5 linked regions of the Xenopus tropicalis genome follow. The protein of the gene in region 4 interacts with the protein of the main gene of each other region in a pairwise test. Links are inferred from orthologs where the notes say so. Each region holds a gene or a part of one and is shown on either strand. Other genes may lie near its edges.

Region 1 (3,353 bases), on a different chromosome or scaffold from region 4:
TTTTAGGTGACCCCTATTCAAAAGTTGAAAATAGTCAGAAGAGGAAGGGAAATAATTTAAAAAACTTAGACCAGTTAAAAATTGCCAAGATTGATAGGCCATTTTATAACATACTAAAAAAATTAACCTGAAGGTGAACCACCCCTTTAATCTTATATATGATATCACTGGGCTTCAATGTATATCAGTATTCAGGGTGGTTTGCTTATTGAATACACCGATTAAACTTTTTTTTTTTTTAAAGTGTTTAAATCCAATATAAGCAGTTTTGTGCTCTTAGCAAATTTTTCTTAAGGAATTTAAAAAAAACAAACACGTAAGAGCCCTTACATATTAATAGCAGCAATTGAAGAATTGACCCAGAATAACACTAATATTACACAGTGTAACTTAACAAACCTTATAAAATGTGTTTGTGTCTTGATAATCTCAAAATTATTCTTGGGTTAAAAAAAAATGATTCTGACCACTAAAGTAGACAAACTAAAGTGAAGCATTGCAGTATGTATAAAACCATCTTTATTATAAACTGTACATTAACATTTTGTGGTCTCTTGCATCAGAAAAGTGTTTTCACACCCTATAGTATTGAGTACATCAGACATTAATGGATCAGCCCTATAAATTAAGATTGATAGTGTTATTAGTACCCATACGGACAACACCTTTCCCTGGCATCTAAGTATAAAAATTAAAACCGTACCCACATACACATTTCCTAACCAGGGTCACTGGTTGAGTGTGGAAGTGACCCTATAGCAGCACTGTTCGTACAAGGCTATCGTGCAGCTAGACACAGAGCAAATGTGGTCAATCAGTGCAAGAATGGGCAATTCATTCATCCTTTCTACTGAACCCCGTTCAGTTCTATGGATAGCACTGAATATCTACAGAGGCTTTCAGAGTTGCCCAAGCAAAGTTGGCTACAGTGTAAATGCTGCATGATCAATTCTGTTCCCTTTCTACATTTTTCCCTCCTGAAACTGCTACCTGCTTACCATCCTAATAGTTGAACTGAACCCAACAGACCATTATGAGTGGCCATCCTAGCCATATTTTTGGTTTAAATTAATTCCCAAGTGGCAAGGGATAAATTAATGATGGTCCAATTTTCCACGGACTACTACTACTCCACCACCACAAGAGTGAGCTTTAATTTTAACTTCTAAGCAGAATATATATATAAATATCTTTATATCGCGTTGACTGTGGGTAATGAGGTTCCTGCTGAGTGCTGTACTCGATCCTGAGAAAAAGTTGATGCAGAGTTCAGGGGTCAGCTGTTCACATAAACAAACAGAATATCTTCATCTGTGCCATAGCTGCTGCGCGACTCCTCAAAGTTAGTGATGCTGGTCCGACACAACCCTAAGGGCAAACAATCATCATTTATTTATAGAGTGCCTGTAAGTTACACAGTATTTAATAATTATTTAAAACAAACCAATGTGCAATAATTTAACAAACAAGGGTTACAGAATAGGAAACAGAATCGGAGGTCCAGCTCACAAGAGCTTACTGTAAGTTTAGAAAGCAAAAAAAAAAAAAAATCACACAGGAAGGATGCAATTGTTAGGAACACATGGGTAAGACTTACTGTCGGCATATCCTGGGTTGTTGTAAAATAAACTGCCAGAACTCTTGTTGTAACCACAAAGCACAATAAAATGGCCCTGGTAGTCACTGCTCCTGCAGAAACACTTTTGCCCAATTGGAAGAAAACAGCAGTATTTGACACGTCTGGGGCACAGGTCACACAGTAATAGCACTGCATTCACTAGTACGATGGCCACATGTCCCTGGGAAAGATGCTCCTGTAACTCCTGAATGGTCACTGTGCTGCAAAGTGGAAGGGCCAATATTATACAGGCAAGCTAGAAAACTGAATGATATAGTTTGCATTTGTGCAAGGAAAACAGGGGCAATGAATGCGAACCATTTACAGATATCACCAACATTAATAGCTGAAGCCTGACACTGGGTACCATCCACTGATACAAGATACAGGGGTGAGACCCAAACAATTTGCCCAGTTTTACAAGTAAAAAAACAATGCAAACTAGATACAGTTCTAGAAAGGAACTGATGTCTTAGCTCATGTTACTTGCTAAAAATAACCAGTATCATAACGAACTCCATAGATACAGCCCTACGGTAACTAGTTGTGTTTAAGTAACGATGCAGACTATCTGCAGTATTGCACTTCATTCTATTTTATAGTCACTGCACATGATTTATCGAAGATTTTTGATACCTTTAATTTTTAGATTTTGAATAAATAGATAACGGGTATCAAGGCTGTACATTTACCGTTTTTCCACATTCACTCCACAGGATTTGGCTTGTGCAAACAGCTGGTTCACTCTGTTTTCCTCTGCATCAAAGTGTTTTCTGTAGAATGACTAAGAAAAGAGAGTAGCCAATGAACTAGCATGTCAATCCCTGATGCCATAAATTTAGGAGAAGCCCTCTGGATTCTGAATAAGCTTTCTACAGAAGCAACAATTCTCCTTCATGTTTCCATAAGGCCTAACATGCTTATGACAGTCAACATTCAGGCCTCAGTCATCTGAAATATCACTACCTATAATACAAGTGTCTGAAATAATTTCTGCTTTAGAACTTTTCACATTGCACTGTAACCAGAACTATTGGAAAGCAATGCTATGAAACTTTTGGCTCTATGTAGAGGTTGCAGCAGCTAATCCCGTGGTATAGAAAAACCAGCACTATACACCTCACTCTACTGCCCACTTTACATGTCGACTTGCGTTGTAAATATAATTAACCTTTATGGTAAAAGGGAAATTAAGACAAATGCACTGATTTTAAATCTATATCTAAAATCCATAAAGCAAGGCAGGATTGCTGGATTAATTCTCAATTCTCACGATTTTACAGATATATATATATATATATATATATATATATATATATATATAGGATATAAAGGATAAGACAACCCTAATCTATATAGCAAAACAAAATTGCCATTTTATTCCCAAATCTATGGGAAACTCATATGTGCCTTTAGGTGTTTGCACTGAATATGATCTGTATCCACATCTACAGTGATAATTTCTCCATGAATACATTTTGGATAGTACACAGGTACCTGTATATACAGTATAATTCCTGTCAACAGCTATCCTACAATATATTTAAGTTAGAAAATATTACCTTATTCAATACAACAGCTTTCTAGTCTACATATTAGGTGCCAATAACCCATGCACTGAAAATTACTATACCACTTAGTACCCAACTATTTGTGCCTGTAAGTAACTCAACAGCCACACTAACCTGGTTCTTATAACCTTTATCGACCCCTAAAGTCTGAGTGCAGAACAGGT
Region 2 (4,021 bases), on a different chromosome or scaffold from region 4:
GCAGGGTAGGGCAGGCAGAGTATGGCACACAGAGGCAGCATAGGGAAGGCAGAGTATGGCACACACAGACAGCATAGGACAGGCAGAGTGCTGCCTGTGTGTGCCATACTCTGCTTGCCCTATGCTGCTTGTGGGAGGTGAACCTGGCAGGGGGTTGTTGTGGGAGTTTGTTAGCAGTTGGAAATAGCCATTAAATGGTCCCTAAGGTGTGTAATTATGTACTGGGGGTTGCTCTGCTATCCACAGGGGAGGAGGAGGCATATGGAATTTAAGGGTATATCTTAATATGACATAATTCTTTCACATACGAATGATGGTTGATATCCCCACAGTAAGGACCAAGCATTTGGGATTTTGCTGTGCTACCACCATTGTGATAAAATAGGTGTGGTTTGAAGTGGGTGTGGTTTCAAAAGGGGGAGTGGTCAAAACTGGCTTCCATTAGCGGCCCTCCACCATGTATGCTAGAGAAATTCCGGCCCTCGGCACCGTAGAAGCTGGACAGCACTGCAGTAAGTCAAAACATAAATTCATGGTTATCAGACTACTACACGTTAGCACATAAAAGCACATATCTGATTGGTTACTATGAATAACCGCAGTGGCGCAGTTTAGCACTTGGTATTAGTAAATTAGCTTCTGGGTTTTTCTGCATTGAAGGAAGTAGAAAATAGTAGGGTCACCAGCAAAACTTGTAGGTCCCTCTCTACACATATATAGAAGTGTAGTGCAAAATGATCTGTCATATAAACATTCTGAAAGCAGGTGTCAAACGGGATCCCCCATTTGCCCCCTTGCCCCCAGCAACCACAAGGCACCACAATCCTCAGGCAAGACTATGCTCTCTGTTCAGAAGAACAAAATAAGTGCCTTTACTTCATTTTGCTCCAAAAGTTCAGTGAAAATTATCACAATAACAGCTGGATATGAATACACACAGATTCATATTTAACAATTATTTGCATGTATTTGTTTATATTCATATTTTGAATGCAAGCAGAAGCAATCATGATTTTCCATCCGCAGAAGAAAAATGAAATAGGAACCACGGTACACATACTCAGAACAACTAACATAAGTAACATTTCTATGCCCCTCCTAGTGTTTGCTAAATCTATTACAAATCAGCCAATCAGCAGATAGAGGTGGGGCTGAAAGTGTGATATTGAATGACGTCTCTGGCGCCCAATTGCAGGCCGGGCATTACCAGAAGACGAAGTATGAGGAAGTAGCCTCCCGGGTGAGTGTTGTGTTCATTTGGGAAGTAGTTCGGTGACAGCCGCTTATCTTGTGTCCGGGTGTTCGTGAGACGCTGGTAAGGGCTAAAACGGGGCGAGCTGACGGGATTTTTGCTTCTCTTTCTCTCGCTGCTTGGCTGCTAGACATATCTATCGCTTCTAAGGTGCCCATGTAATACCCCTTGTCCGGACAAAGACTTTGCCATCTGCCCCTCTGCTTATAGACTGATCTTCACCGGCTGAATTGTAACGATCGGGAACTACAGGATATATTTGCTTCCTTACTCATTTCGAGGGGGACGCCAAGCACAAGCTCAGCCAATGGCCGGCACATAAGTGTGTTTATTTACTCTTCTTTTGTCTGCTGATGCCAAGACCTGTAACAGAATCACCCTGAGAATTCAGAATATCATCGTTATCCCGCACCGCTGCTTAGTGCTCACTATTTGTCACATTCTGCATTTATTACAGATAATGGGTGTAGATTCTGTAGTAACTCATAGCGTCAGAATTTGGCTTCCACTAGCCTTGCAGCTGTTGGGCAAACACAGCTATTAGGATGAAGACATACTGGGCTACTGGCAGCAGCTACTTGTCAAGGCAACTAAACACCATACTGAGAATTGCCTAATTTGCCTCTGCTAAAGCACACATGATCTGATCAATTATCAGTAAATGATCAGCATTGTCTTTTTTAGTAGCCACAACAAGTAGCTGCTTCTAATGGCTCCATGTGTTGCTAGGGATAATAAGCCAGTGTACACTAACTCCAGTTTTGTTAGGTAGTATGTAAGAAAAGACTTATTGTACATGAAAAAAGCATCACATAAGGCACTATATGTCTTCCTTGCTAATCCATTAGGGCAGGGGTACACGGGGAGATTTGCCATAGTTTCCTCTCAAGGCAACTTCCGTGACTTCGGCAAATTGCGGCACTGCGTATGCCATCCCACTGGCGATTTACATTCTAGCCGGTGGGATGGCATTTCGTGGAGATTAGTCGTCCGCGACAAGGGGGATTTGTCCCTGTCTGTCACAGCTCTAAAGGACTTAGAATGGTACATTCAAGTTGTCCCATATTTTATTAAATATGTGTATAATGGTTATAATGTGATAGCGTTGTTTTAAGTGGGTGAGGCCTTTGTATTGGGTATTATTAGCATGCAAAGGAGTGGTAAAAACACCTAAGGATTGCTGAGCAAGGAAATCCTAGTGCAAGTATATTTAGTTTCATTTCCTTTGAATTGTAGCGTGTCTGTAATTGTAACATGACACTTACATATTAACATTTGCTCTTTTCCTACAGGAGAAGTAGAGCAAAGTTTGAAATAAAACGGAATATATACCTTTTAGCAAGCTTATGATATGGCTTAGTTATATCTTGGTTATATATATATTTTTTTTTGGTTGTTCCATGAGGGAGTTTTCTTAATGCTTATTCTTTTCTAGATACACTATGAGTCATTAAGGGTGTATACTGTCTGCTTGCAAACACTCCCAGTTTTTGCTGCTTTCCACTGCCTGATGTGGTTCTCGCTCAACAGAATTTTCCAACCTTCATATCCGATTTGGGTCAGGATGCCATTGTTTTTGGCTTCACTTGTAGGCCAATATATCGCTGACTTGCCAATATATAACTAGCTTGAAGCTAAATATATACACCCTGGTATTATTTCTATACTTTATTTGACTTTTCCTTGATCCCAAGCCTCACTTATTCTTGCTTATTGTAAAAGTATTAAGCACTTGATTGTGTGTCTTGTGAAACACATCATTACCATATCATTCCTGGATAATGTTAAAAGGGTTTTTCACCTTTAGGTTAAGACTTACCGGTAGTATGTTATATAGTGTCCCATTCTTACCAGCTTTTCACTCGGTTATCATTTTGTATTTTTTATAGTTTTTGAAGTATTTGCCTTCTTCTTCTGACTCTTTCCAGCTTTTGAATGGGGTCACTGACCCCACAGCCAAAAATGATTGCTTTGCGAGGCTACAATTTTATAGTTATTTTAACTTTTTATTACTTATCATTCTATTAAGGCCCTCCTATTTAAATTTCTGCCTCTTTCAGGCCACTGCCTGGTGGCTAGGTTAAATTTGAACAGCATAGATACTGGCACAGCAAGGCAATTATAAGCAGGTAAAACCTGCACGTTTATTTAGTGCAACACAGTAACGTTTCGGGGTGAACCCCTTCGTCAGACGAAACGTTACTGTGTTGCACTAAATAAACGTGCAGGTTTTACCTGTTTATAATTGCCTTGCTGTGCCAGTATCTATGCTTTTCGAGATTGGATTGGAGGGTGCCGTTCCCTCTTTATACCGGGCACCAGGCTAAAAGTTTTTTCTTTTGGAGGAGCCAGGGTGTGCTGGTGAGTTTTTCTTTATCCACATTACTAGGTTAAATTCGACCCTAGCAACCAGATTGCTGCTTAAATTCCAAATTGGAGAGCTGCTAAGCAGAAAGCTAAATAATTCAAAAACCGCAAATAACAAAAAAATAAAATGAATCGCAGAATTTCTCAGAATAGCCTTCTCTGCATCATACTAAAAGTGATTCCCAGTGTTTTGGCCCTCATATGGTTGGCATTTGGCAAAAACGCTCAAAATTTCCTCCCCATTGAACTGAATGACAATAGCGTGCACCCTGCTGGGGCAATTTGTAGGCTCATTTCCGAGAGATTTTTTCCTGACTTGCAAGTGCTCCAGCAGAGTATAGGTGGTTACCATCAAGGTCAATGGAGGGGTATTTTTCAACCCCACCTGTATAGAAATCCTGC
Region 3 (4,030 bases), about 69 Mb from region 4:
CCAGTGGAATGGTGGCGCCTGCGTGCCCCAGTGTCCTGGGGGGCCCTTGGTGCGGGTGTGCCCGCCATCTGCCGGGCGCGACTTGAGTGTGCCTGTGCCGGGGGTTGGGTGTAAAAAACCTGAGGAAAAGGCTCCGAGATATATGATTCAGGTGGGGAGGGGTGGGGGGGGGGATGTGGGCTGTGTGGAGAAGAAATGGTCTGGTGACAGGCTGGGTGACCTAGAGAAAGCTTCCTCAAGTAGGAGCTCTCCTTCCTCAACCTCCTGTGAGACAGGGGCCGTGTGCCTCATGACTACAAGGGGCCCAGTGCTGCAGTGGGGGGTGGGGGTGGTGAAAAGGGGTACTTGGCTGGCAGGTACACTGGGCTGAGGAGCTGCCTCAGCTGTGGGGGCTATAGCGCTTTGCGCCTGGGGTGCTTGGGGGGGCCTACGTGTAGCCCTCTTCGCCTTATTAGAACTGGCGGAGGGCTTTTGTGTGGGGGCCGCATTGGTGGCAGTGGCGGAGCCGCGTGATGTCACGCGGGCCCCTGTCCTAACCTCCGTGCGCTGCCTTGCCGGCGCGGCAGTCGGAGGTTGGGAGGCAGCGGCGGAGGTCATGCGCCGGGTAGTCCTAGGTGGACTGGGGCTCAGGCGGGAGGGAGGGCGGGAGCGGCGAGGCGGTCGCCTACTGGCACTGCTCGCCGCTTGTATGCCTTGTACCTGTGTGTGGCTGCACCAGCTCCTCGGCTCCCTCGGCCGCTAGTCTGGCCCGCACCTGCTGGAGGAGCTCGTCGCTCATGGCAGTGAGCGGTCGCAGGCAGAAGGCAGATGAGGGAAGAGAGCAGATGATCCTACGTGCTGCGGCTGCTGCCAGTGAGTGAGATGCTGCAGGGTGAACAGTGAAGCAAGGGGGAGGGGGGAGCTGTAGGAGTGTACATTTTTTCCCCTTCTGTAACAGGAACCGTTAACCCCTCGAGTAGTGGAGGGAATTAGGCCCTTGCTATCTCCACAGTCCCTCAGCGCTTTCCTTAATCACTTCAGCGCTGTCCAGAATCCAGTGGCAACCTGACCGCTCTCTTCCAATGTAGGTTCACAAAGAGCACAACTCAGTGGATCATAATGAATGATAGCTCTGCACAGTGCCACCTATACACCGCACTCTCCGAGTGCAAGAGCACCCGGCCAGCGCTGCCCCCTTCCCGGGCCGGATCCGTTGCTATGACAACCCCCCAGCGTGCCTCCGGGCCCAGCCTGCCCGGGATACAATGGGTGACGTATTGGCTGTGACGAGTGACGCACGGTGCGGGAGCTTGGAACGGATTATTGATTAAAGATGGAGGAAAGAGAAAATTCAGAAGAAGGCGACGACGATGCGGGTGAAGAAGGGGAGGAGGACCAAGGATGTAGTGAGGATGGAGGAGAGGTGGGGGCGGAGAGAGAAAAAGAGGTGGAACTAAAGGACTCACTGAGGCCGTCAGTGCTGGACCTGCAGGTGTGTGACTGGCAAGGGGCTTCTGTCGGCTCACTTACATGCGTAGCAGTGCCGTAGCACTACAACAGGAATCCCTGTGCCCAGCGCTCTGTACTGTAGCACTACAACAGGAATCCCTGTGCCCAGTGCTCTGTACCGTAGCACTACAACAGGAATCCCTGTGCCCAGTGCTCTGTACCGTAGCACTACAACAGGAATCCCTGTGCCCAGCGCTCTGTACTGTAGCACTACAACAGGAATCCCTGTGCCCAGCGCTCTGTACCGTAGCACTACAACAGGAATCCCTGTGCCCAGCACTGTACAGCAGCACTACAACAGGAATCCCTGTGCCCAGCACTCTGTACCGTAGCACTACAACAGGAATCCCTGTGCCCAGCGCTCTGTACCGTAGCACTACAACAGGAATCCCTGTGCCCAGCACTGTACAGCAGCACTACAACAGGAATCCCTGTGCCCAGCACTGTACAGCAGCACTACAATAGGAATCCCTGTGACCAGCGCTCTGTACAGCAGCACTACAACAGGAATCCCTGTGCCCAGCACTGTACAGCAGCACTACAACAGGAATCCCTGTGCCCAGCACTGTACAGCAGCACTACAACAGGAATCCCTGTGCCCAGCACTGTACAGCAGCACTACAACAGGAATCCCTGTGCCCAGCACTGTACCGTAGCACTACAACAGGAATCCCTGTGCCCAGCGCTCTGTACCGTAGCACTACAACAGGAATCCCTGTGCCCAGCACTGTACAGCAGCACTACAACAGGAATCCCTGTGCCCAGCACTGTACAGCAGCACTACAATAGGAATCCCTGTGACCAGCGCTCTGTACAGCAGCACTACAACAGGAATCCCTGTGCCCAGCACTGTACAGCAGCACTACAACAGGAATCCCTGTGCCCAGCACTGTACAGCAGCACTACAACAGGAATCCCTGTGCCCAGCACTGTACAGCAGCACTACAACAGGAATCCCTGTGCCCAGCGCTCTGTACCGTAGCACTACAACAGGAATCCCTGTGCCCAGCACTGTACAGCAGCACTACAACAGGAATCCCTGTGCCCAGCGCTCTGTACCGTAGCACTACAACAGGAATCCCTGTGCCCAGCGCTCTGTACCGTAGCACTACAACAGGAATCCCTGTGACCAGCACTGTACAGCAGCACTACAACAGGAATCCCTGTGACCAGCACTGTACAGCAGCACTACAACAGGAATCCCTGTGACCAGCGCTCTGTACAGCAGCACTACAACAGGAATCCCTGTGCCCAGCACTCTGTACCGTAGCACTACAACAGGAATCCCTGTGCCCAGCGCTCTGTACCGTAGCACTACAACAGGAATCCCTGTGCCCAGCGCTCTGTACAGCAGCACTACAACAGGAATCCCTGTGCCCAGCACTGTACAGCAGCACTACAACAGGAATCCCTGTGCCCAGCACTGTACAGCAGCACTACAACAGGAATCCCTGTGCCCAGCGCTCTGTACAGCAGCACTACAACAGGAATCCCTGTGCCCAGCGCTCTGTACAGCAGCACTACAACAGGAATCCCTGTGCCCAGCGCTCTGTACAGCAGCACTACAACAGGAATCCCTGTGCCCAGCGCTCTGTACAGCAGCACTACAACAGGAATCCCTGTGCCCAGCGCTCTGTACAGCAGCACTACAACAGGAATCCCTGTGCCCAGCGCTCTGTACTCAGTGCGCTGCATTGTGTAACACTGCTGCTACACACAGGGTCACAGTTTGAGCCTGTACAGGGGCTGCCAGACAGGTGCCAGAGGGCATTTATATTCTCGCGTACCCTGCACAGCTATAGAAAAACATATTTGTTGGGCCCAGTAACTTCCTTCTGCCCCCTGCTTGGTTGTTCCCCTGGGCTTGGATATGGTAAATGCGAGCTGCCTCTGTGCCAAGAGATGGCAGAAATCTGCTTCGGTGTACCCCTGCTTTGCTAGATTTAAAGTCCAGCCTATTATTTCCGTTTTTCGTTAATGACAGATGCAATACTGTGACAACTGTGTGTTTATATGTCCTTTTAAAGGGGAACTAAAAGCCCTCTCCAGCATTGCTCCTACATAACACACCCAACTAATTTTGTAAAAACGAACTATTCCCATGTACCAGGTAAAAAAACAGAGATGGGCATAGGGTTGGTGTCTGCCATGTCTGGCCAGTTCCATGGTGTTGCCATTGTTGCAGGTTTATGGGTCTGGCTTAGTCATCTTTAAGGGAACTTTTAAAGGCCTGTGTGACACATTGTCACCACTGTATTTTCATTTTAGTTGGCACTGGCTCGACTGTGTGAGGATGAATACAGAGATCAGCCATCAAAAATGCCCGTTTTAGGGCTGCAAATTAATGAAGATCATTCATTTGAAAGGTAAAACTAAAAATTAATCCCAACTATCTATCTGTCTGTCTGTCTGTCTATCATCTTTAAATTCATGTGACATTGCAGTACAGACACGAAGTTCAGAATATTCCTATTTAATAATAACTAAAGTGCAGTTTTCTTTTAGGCTATTTATAAATGATGTGCAAGCCAAAACCATCAGC
Region 4 (4,135 bases):
GAGTGACTTGTCCTCTTGCAACTATTTACATATTCCTATATAACATATAAGATTTTTAAATGTACAGGTATGGGACCTATTATCCAGAATGCTCGGGACCTGGGGTTTTCCGGATAAGGGATCTTTCCATAATTTGGATCTCCATAACTTAATTCTGCAAAAACATCATTGAAATATTGAATAAACCCAATAGGATTGTTCTGCCTCCAATGAGCACTCATTATACCTTAGTTGTGATCAAGTACAGGGTACTGTTTTATTTTTACAGAGAAAAAGGAAATAATTTTTAAAAAATTAGAATTATTTGCTTAGAATGAATTCTATGGGAGATGGCCTTTCCGTAATTTGGAACTCTGGATAACAGGTTTCCGGATAAGGGATCCCATACCTGTACCATGTTTTAAACAAAATAACTAATAACTGAAATGCCAAAGAGCCAATATATGGACCATGGGGACCTGTGGATTCTGGTAAATGCAGGAGGGGCTGCTGTAAAATTCCAGTCACTATTTAGTTGGCTGGTGGGGGGCTATTAGCACCTCTGTGTACTTTAAATGCCAGGGCCTATTTTGCATCCCAGTCCAGACCTGGTATGGACCTATAACTGCAACAAAATGCAGTTCTTTTTAATTAACCCTAACTCTATAGTTGTTCTTTTCAGGTGTGTGAAAACAGAAGGCTAGTTTTCTCAGTTCTCTTTGACATCAGCGAAAGTGATTTTGGGCATCTGGCAGCCATGTTTTGAATGTATAAAGGGCAAGTCAGAAAAAATGCCTGAATCTGCTGCTTTTCACAGCTTTGGGGTAGCCACATTTAAATGACTTGCTTGTTTATTTTGATCATTTATCCGAGAAGCTATTAAACATATGAAAACAAAAATGTTTATTCTATTAATATCCTATCAATTATGAATGAACACACTCAAGGCGATAACTCTACCCGCAAAATATTGAATTACCCTTCGGTCAATGACAAACCTATTCTGTAGCAGTAAAAACGCTGCTATATACAAACTGAATACACCAGTAGAAAGGAGCAGTCAGAGTCAAACTCCTAGCATCCTCCATCAGCTGGAAAGGGTACTGAAGACCCTTGGGGCAAAGTTTCCCTTTACTGAATATAGTTTGTGTTGTTTTCTCTAATACTGATTAAACAGACGTTATCCTTTGAGTGCAGTTCTGCTGAGCTGACCCAGGTCCCTACCAAGTACCTGCTATGCCGGCGCGCCACTGTGACTTCACTTCCGTGTTCAGCTCAGGGGCGAAAGGGCGTGTCTCCGTGTTTTGCCTCGCCCCCTGCTACCAGTCACCGAGGGTATTCTCTAACCGGACTTCCTACTATCCCTGCTACTCTGCTCTGGAGCAATGGCAGCGCTGGACTCTCCGGCAGTGGCTGAGCTGTGCCAGAATGAGCGGCAGGAATTCTTGGACGCTTCCCAGCTGCTGCTCACCTATGCGGACAATATACTGAGGTGAGGGGAGCAAAGGGTTACTGGGATTAGGCTCATTCTGTGCGGCTGGCAACTTCTGCCACCCTGGGACGCATGCGCCAATCAGATTATTAACCTTTTGGTATTCTGATTACTATGACAACGAATAGAATAAGTGGAATTGGACATTTTACCTAAATGGCAGGTGTCTCATGCCCAAACACAGGAAGGAGTTCATCAGATGGCAGTGTTTGCTCTGGTTCTTGTGGAAACTTGTCATCTTAATATAAGGGGTCATCTTAATTTAAGGGGTCTATTCTTTTTTTACTTCTGAACATGTATAAAAGTTGTCCCCCTTTCTGTCTCACCATAAGAAGCCATTGTTATTATGTAGTCATATGTGATCCACCAATCAGGGCACTGCTAGTCCCCCAGCAAGAGACCTTACAGGTGTTGCTCTATTGACTCATTTGACTATGATGTGATATCATGGTGATATTTTTGTTATTACCTAGAAAGGAAGTGACTCTAGTGTCTTATTTTAGATTTTCCTTTCTACTATTTGCAGATATCTGTAATATCTACTATTTCTTGCAAGTACAGCATAGCAAGTTCATTAATTGGAACCTGTCATCCAGATATCTGTATAATAAATTAAACATGAAACCCACATTCTTTTTTTTATTATTAAAACTTCCATACCTAAACTTTATTCAGAATCCCAGCTGTCAATCATATGTTGCCTTCCCTCCCATGCGTCAGGCTCAGCAATCATTTTCACTTTCATTTCTGCCCTTCCTAGATGACATTGCACTCTTCACATGCCCCCTCCCTTCTGTCTATAACTGCATAGCCTATGCATGGGCATCAGGTCCCACTTTCTAGGACATAAATTACATTTTGATTGATACAAAGCTTGCCTTAATAACAGTTTCCACAAAATGGTGCCTACCTGAATGCTTTAATGTGGATTCCAAAAAAAAATAAAATAAACAAGATTAAATGGATATAGTGTAAGTAAAAGTTATTTTGCTCAATTAATGTAGTAAATAGGGTTTGTATTTATTCCTTAAGGTGCCTGGTTCGTGTTAAATCCCAGTGCACGCACACCAATCTCATGCAAGGAATAGCTTAGAAACTAAAGTAAGATGGTGGAGCATTGTTCCCCAGCCAAGTACCTGACTGGTGAATATTTTATTTAAAAAAGATGCCCCAGTGTAGGGCAGCAGTTTAGCATTTTTGTAAGCTACATGGTTCCTAACAAATTAGGCATCATGTAAAGCTTTGTCAGAATTGGAGATAAGAAGCTCATAGTACAGAGGGCATCTAAGGGCTCTGGCACACGGGGAGTTTAGTCACCCGCAACAAATCTCCCTGCGAACAGGGAGATTTGCCGCGGGCGACTAATCTACCCGTGTGCCAGAGCCTTTAAGGACTAGACAATTTGTTCAGTTTTCTTCTCCTCCTTAGACAGTTGCTTCCAAGAACTAAAGGAAGTTGGACAGTGAAAGAGGTTTCTGTTTTAAGCTGGCCATACACGCACCGATAATATCGTACGAAACCTCGTTTCGTACGATATTCGGTGCGTGTATGGCATGTCGGCGAGTCGACCGATATCGCAGGAAGCTGCTGAAATCGGTCGACTCGCCGATCGGCCAGGTTAGAAAATTTTGATCGGGCGCCATAGAAGGCACCTGACCAAAATCTGCCGTCAGGGCTGAATCGGCAGAAGGAGGTAGAATCTTATTGTTTCTACCTCCTTATCTGCTGTTTCAGCCCTGACGGTGTGTGGCGGATCTGACGATGTTTTGTGCGACCTTCAAGCAGTAGTTAATGTGTTTTATTGCTCATACAACCAGTTTCAGGCTCACGTGCCCATTATCAAGTGTGTATGTAAGGCCGAAACATGTTGGAGCAATGAAACACACAGCAGGATGATTCGGCTTAAAAAGTCATTCTTTTTCTAATTTTGCTTTTATCTTTCCTGATTATAAGAATATGCAACACATATGTTCAGAGCGTTGTATGTCAGTTTGATTAAGGGTAGTGTACCATTTATTAGCTCAGTCCACTGTGGGAGTGCCGGAGAATTGGGGCTCATCTATTTCATAATTATTCACTTTTTTGCATAGGACATAACGGATCGTAGGGGTGTTCTAGATTTTTGTAAGGGCATTATCTCTCTTAAGCAGGTCTCTGGAGGTATTTATCCAGGGAGGGATAAGCACTCCTTAATGTAGCAGGTAACGTCCAGTTTGTTGCTATCCAGGGGTATTCCCAAATCAGGTGAAGGAATCCTGCCTCTCCCATACCACATTTTAAACATTTGTCTCCTTCTAGCCTGCCCATAGCCTTAAGCCTCAAGGGCATAGTGTAGATTTGATGGATAATCTTAAATGGAACAATTCTGTCCAGTTATCTGTTGCTTCTTCCCATTGTTCTTCATCTGAGGGGATAATAGATAAGACTTGATCAGAGGTCTGAATATTTTTGCAAAACTAATTTTTCTCTTTCTCATTTTTGTGCTGTGGATCTCAAAACTGTACTGCACAGAAGGGCATGTTAGATTTTCACCCTTGGTTTGAACAAACCAATTTTTTTTTCACTTGTTTCCTTGCTGTAGAGAAATTGAGCAGACTGGGGGCATTAAAAATCAGTTGAAGCACTGGATCTGCCCCACAGTCCTGTATTTGGACAGATGGTCTG
Region 5 (3,397 bases), on a different chromosome or scaffold from region 4:
CCATGCCAGCTTCATTAAAGCAGAAGAACTGTCACTCAAGTGAAGAAAATCATTTGCTAAGTATGAGTTTACAAATTTTTACAGAGTGCAAAAAATGAAAAATCCCTGCTTACAAACAAATGTATTTGTTTTAGTCATCTGGCTATTTGGGGTTTTCTTTTTTGGTGGTGGTGTACTGTTTCACAAAGTAATGGATGTGATAAAGGGCTAAATACAGATTTAAACGTGCGAGACGGGTAGAGAAGGCTGCACGTTCTCATTAAAAAGAAATAATTGCGGAGTAAATGTTACTTAACACACCATGTGGGAAACCAGAACATGCAACAGTTGTTTTAAAAACTTTACTGCAATTTAAACATTGAAGAAATTAGCAATTAGAAAGCTAATTGGAGCCAATCCTTAATCTGCAAGAAAAAATAAAACAGAAAAAAAAAAAAACACATAAAACAAAAATAACCTCCTGCGTGCGTATGAGCACTATTCACTCAATGACCAGGTTTGTAAATATCAGTGAAGATTGTTTTATTGGAAGGAAACATTTCTGAATTGACTTTCACAGGATTACCATGTTAAAAAATTCTGTGCACTAATTTCATACATAGATTTTTTGTAAAGCAGCAGATGATCATCTATGTTTATTTTGGCATTTACAACTTGCAAACTTCTTTAAAGCCCTATAGCAATAATCCAAGGTTTCGGTGACCAAAAGGTTCACATAACAAAAACCACAGATTATTACTAACACCTTTTTTTTAAGTTTAAATGAAATAAGGAAGCAGGGCATTACACTAAATTTCTGGATTGAAGTATACTAGTAAAGGCAAACATATAATGCTTAAAAGAAAATAAACTTTGTCTGCTGAAGCTTTATTTTGGTTGTATAGGTTTAATTCCTTTGTATTATAATACAAGCGGATTGCTGTTACTGCTTAATTAAAGCAGTTGTATGCATTTTCATTACCTAATTTTTCCAATATTTCCCGAGCCCTCCCACCCCCCGTTACTACCATACACCGAATATTGTGGATATGAACCCAAATCATCCGAGTAAATCCAGTGAGCAAAGTTAGTGTAATGCACTGGTGTGAAGTGAGATACAAAAAATACAGTCTCTTCTTTTCAATCATCATCAAAGTTTTGCTGTAGAAGGAAGTTGGCAGCCAAATTCTCATTCTTCTCGCATGCGAAATAAGCTTGTATCACAAGTCCTTCAGGGAATCCTAGTGCTTTTAGCTAAATTACAAAAAGAAGCAACTGCATGAGTACAAATAATCCTCAGCAAGGACAATGCAATACATAATATTACAACATGCCATGGCTATATCCAGTTGATCATTCGCTTACCCTTTCTATAGCTTCTTTTTCCTGAGGTGTGACTTGAATGTAGTTCATATGACCGCTTCCAGCCTCTGCTGCAATGCCTCTTCCACCTCCACCTCCTCCGCCTCCTCCTCCACCTTGCCCCCCACTTTCTGGGACTGGGTCATTTAACATCTGAATAAATTGCTCTTGATGCTGGCTAATTTGCTGCAAAGAAATTGTTTGTTTTTTTTTAATCTTTAGTTGTCTACAATATTTCAGGTTTTTTGTAAGCAGAAAGACAATTTAATATGCATTTCTTGTTCAACCCCAGGAAAAGAACATAGAATTAATGTAAACCATTCCAATGATGTCAGGCTAATTTTGAAATACACAAAAAAAATTAAATTAGCATAGTAGCTATTTCTATCTTTTAAATAAAAGAAAACTGCATTTTAACTATAGTTTACTGCACCCTTTGCTTATCTGTTGTCTAAACAAAGCTATACACAGCTTTTGCTCACTAAAGCCTAACACATATTAAGGAAGCGCTCCAGAAAAAAACAAAACTGAAAAATAATGCAGTTTCCAAACACCAATTATACATTATGTAAAATACATACAAGACATTATATGTATTACTATCATTTAAAGGGTGATCATCAAATGAAGCCAAATTTACTGGCATCAGTCAACTGACCAGCCTCTTACTAAAAAGCGCAACCAATAAAGTACACTTGTGTCCTGAGGCTTAGAGCAAATAAATAGAAGGCCAATGAAACTACCTGCAGTAGTGAGGGATTCTCCCGACCGATTTGTTGGAGAAGTGCTGGTAATAGGGAAGGATTCTGCTGAATGATCTGCCTCATCTGCTGAAACTGAGGCTGATTCTGCAAGAAATCAAGGGGATTTCCTAGAAATAAAATAAATGAATAAATAATGTACCTATAACACAAAGCAATCCTTATATCACCTTAAGACAAAAGACAGGGACAAGATACAATTTTATTTGTTCTCCTGTTGTTTCATGAGACACAGACAGACAAGACCAACATAAATAAATTCTAACCCAAAGCAGAATAAGAAAAAAAAAAAAATCAAGGTAGAAGTTGGGGCCAAGAAATGTAATTGGTAAACATCCAGTAATTCTCTTGCCCATACCTTTTTCATGACAGTTTCAACAGTTATCAAAGATATGTCCAAGCAGAGCTCATAAAGGCCCAAGGCACACCAGATGTTTTTCTAGTGCAGTTGGTGACAGGCTGCCTTCCTGACAGGAAACTGCCTAAGTGTTCAGCCCAACTGAAGTAGCCCCATGTGCCATTACCCCACCCTCATTTTTTGTGACAGTAAAAATTTCTAGTTAAAAAAAAAACAAAAAACTGTCCTATCTTAGAATAAAAAAAAAATATTCTTGACACATCTAGCATAATTAATGTAATCACATGCTTAACATGCTGATTAATTGATTAGAGGTCTCACCTCCCGTTGAGGGTGTAGATGGTGTAGTAGTCGTTGCAGCTGCACCTGCCGCAGCGGGAAGAGGCTGAGTAGGTGTACTGCTTAAAGTCTGGGGAGGTTCTGCAACTGCCTGACCTTCACGATCACTAGGGATTCCCTGTTAAGGTAAAAATACAAATTGCAACTAAGAAAATAGCATTTTATTTCATAGCAATATCCATAATGATATATTACTACAAGAACTTACAAAAAGAATATGTTACCCACATTATTTTTTATATAAAAAGACATAATGGGTGGCTGATATGCTAACCTTTGCCCAACAGTTAGGGCTAATATTTGTCCTTAAAATTATTGAAGGCTGATCACCTCTCCTTCCCATAATAGGTTTAAAATTTGTGAGAAACAAAAAATGTAAACTTAGATCTAGGTTTGGTCTATTGAATGAGTCACAGAAAATTCTTTAAAAGTTCAAGGTACATTGAGAAGATCTAAAATGGAGGCCATGCAGACATAGTACAAAAAGTAATACACCTGCCTAATAGATATGGGGGCTTGCATCAGGGACATCTAAAAAAAAAAAATTGGTCTGAAAGTCCAACTCAGAATAGAGAACTTACTGAAAGCATAACACAGA

What was found.
Region 1: the proteins of ngly1 (region 4) and gucd1 interact in binary tests that used the Homo sapiens proteins (3 or more experiments, as listed by UniProt). The two-hybrid records come from large-scale screens. The link is inferred for Xenopus tropicalis from reciprocal best matches to the Homo sapiens genes NGLY1 and GUCD1.
Region 2: the proteins of ngly1 (region 4) and trafd1 interact in binary tests that used the Homo sapiens proteins (3 or more experiments, as listed by UniProt). The two-hybrid records come from large-scale screens. The link is inferred for Xenopus tropicalis from reciprocal best matches to the Homo sapiens genes NGLY1 and TRAFD1.
Region 3: the proteins of ngly1 (region 4) and ubxn2b interact in binary tests that used the Homo sapiens proteins (3 or more experiments, as listed by UniProt). The two-hybrid records come from large-scale screens. The link is inferred for Xenopus tropicalis from reciprocal best matches to the Homo sapiens genes NGLY1 and UBXN2B.
Region 5: the proteins of ngly1 (region 4) and rad23b interact in binary tests that used the Homo sapiens proteins (3 or more experiments, as listed by UniProt). The two-hybrid records come from large-scale screens. The link is inferred for Xenopus tropicalis from reciprocal best matches to the Homo sapiens genes NGLY1 and RAD23B.

Annotation. Positions count from the first base shown.
Region 1 is NC_030677.2:152,597,543-152,600,895, forward strand, and holds the end of gucd1 (protein GUCD1), read right to left. Parts: coding exon 3,304-3,353; intron 2,403-3,303; coding exon 2,311-2,402; intron 1,840-2,310; coding exon 1,598-1,839; intron 1,369-1,597; coding exon 1,277-1,368; 3' UTR 502-1,276; downstream 1-501.
Region 2 is NC_030677.2:163,670,064-163,674,084, forward strand, and holds the start of trafd1 (TRAF-type zinc finger domain-containing protein 1), read left to right. Parts: upstream 1-1,208; 5' UTR 1,209-1,315; exon of another isoform or gene 1,316-1,576; intron 1,577-4,021. UniProt on the Homo sapiens protein: Negative feedback regulator that controls excessive innate immune responses. Regulates both Toll-like receptor 4 (TLR4) and DDX58/RIG1-like helicases (RLH) pathways.
Region 3 is NC_030682.2:116,311,669-116,315,698, forward strand, and holds the start of ubxn2b (UBX domain-containing protein 2B), read left to right. Parts: upstream 1-1,223; 5' UTR 1,224-1,312; coding exon 1,313-1,471; intron 1,472-3,756; coding exon 3,757-3,854; intron 3,855-4,030. UniProt on the Homo sapiens protein: Adapter protein required for Golgi and endoplasmic reticulum biogenesis. Involved in Golgi and endoplasmic reticulum maintenance during interphase and in their reassembly at the end of mitosis.
Region 4 is NC_030682.2:47,695,208-47,699,342, reverse strand, and holds the start of ngly1 (peptide-N(4)-(N-acetyl-beta-glucosaminyl)asparagine amidase), read left to right. Parts: upstream 1-1,325; 5' UTR 1,326-1,364; coding exon 1,365-1,471; intron 1,472-4,135. UniProt on the Homo sapiens protein: Specifically deglycosylates the denatured form of N-linked glycoproteins in the cytoplasm and assists their proteasome-mediated degradation. Cleaves the beta-aspartyl-glucosamine (GlcNAc) of the glycan and the amide side chain of Asn, converting Asn to Asp.
Region 5 is NC_030677.2:120,702,904-120,706,300, reverse strand, and holds the end of rad23b (UV excision repair protein RAD23 homolog B), read right to left. Parts: intron 2,918-3,397; coding exon 2,782-2,917; intron 2,213-2,781; coding exon 2,085-2,212; intron 1,528-2,084; coding exon 1,345-1,527; intron 1,234-1,344; coding exon 1,120-1,233; 3' UTR 506-1,119; downstream 1-505. UniProt on the Homo sapiens protein: Multiubiquitin chain receptor involved in modulation of proteasomal degradation. Binds to polyubiquitin chains.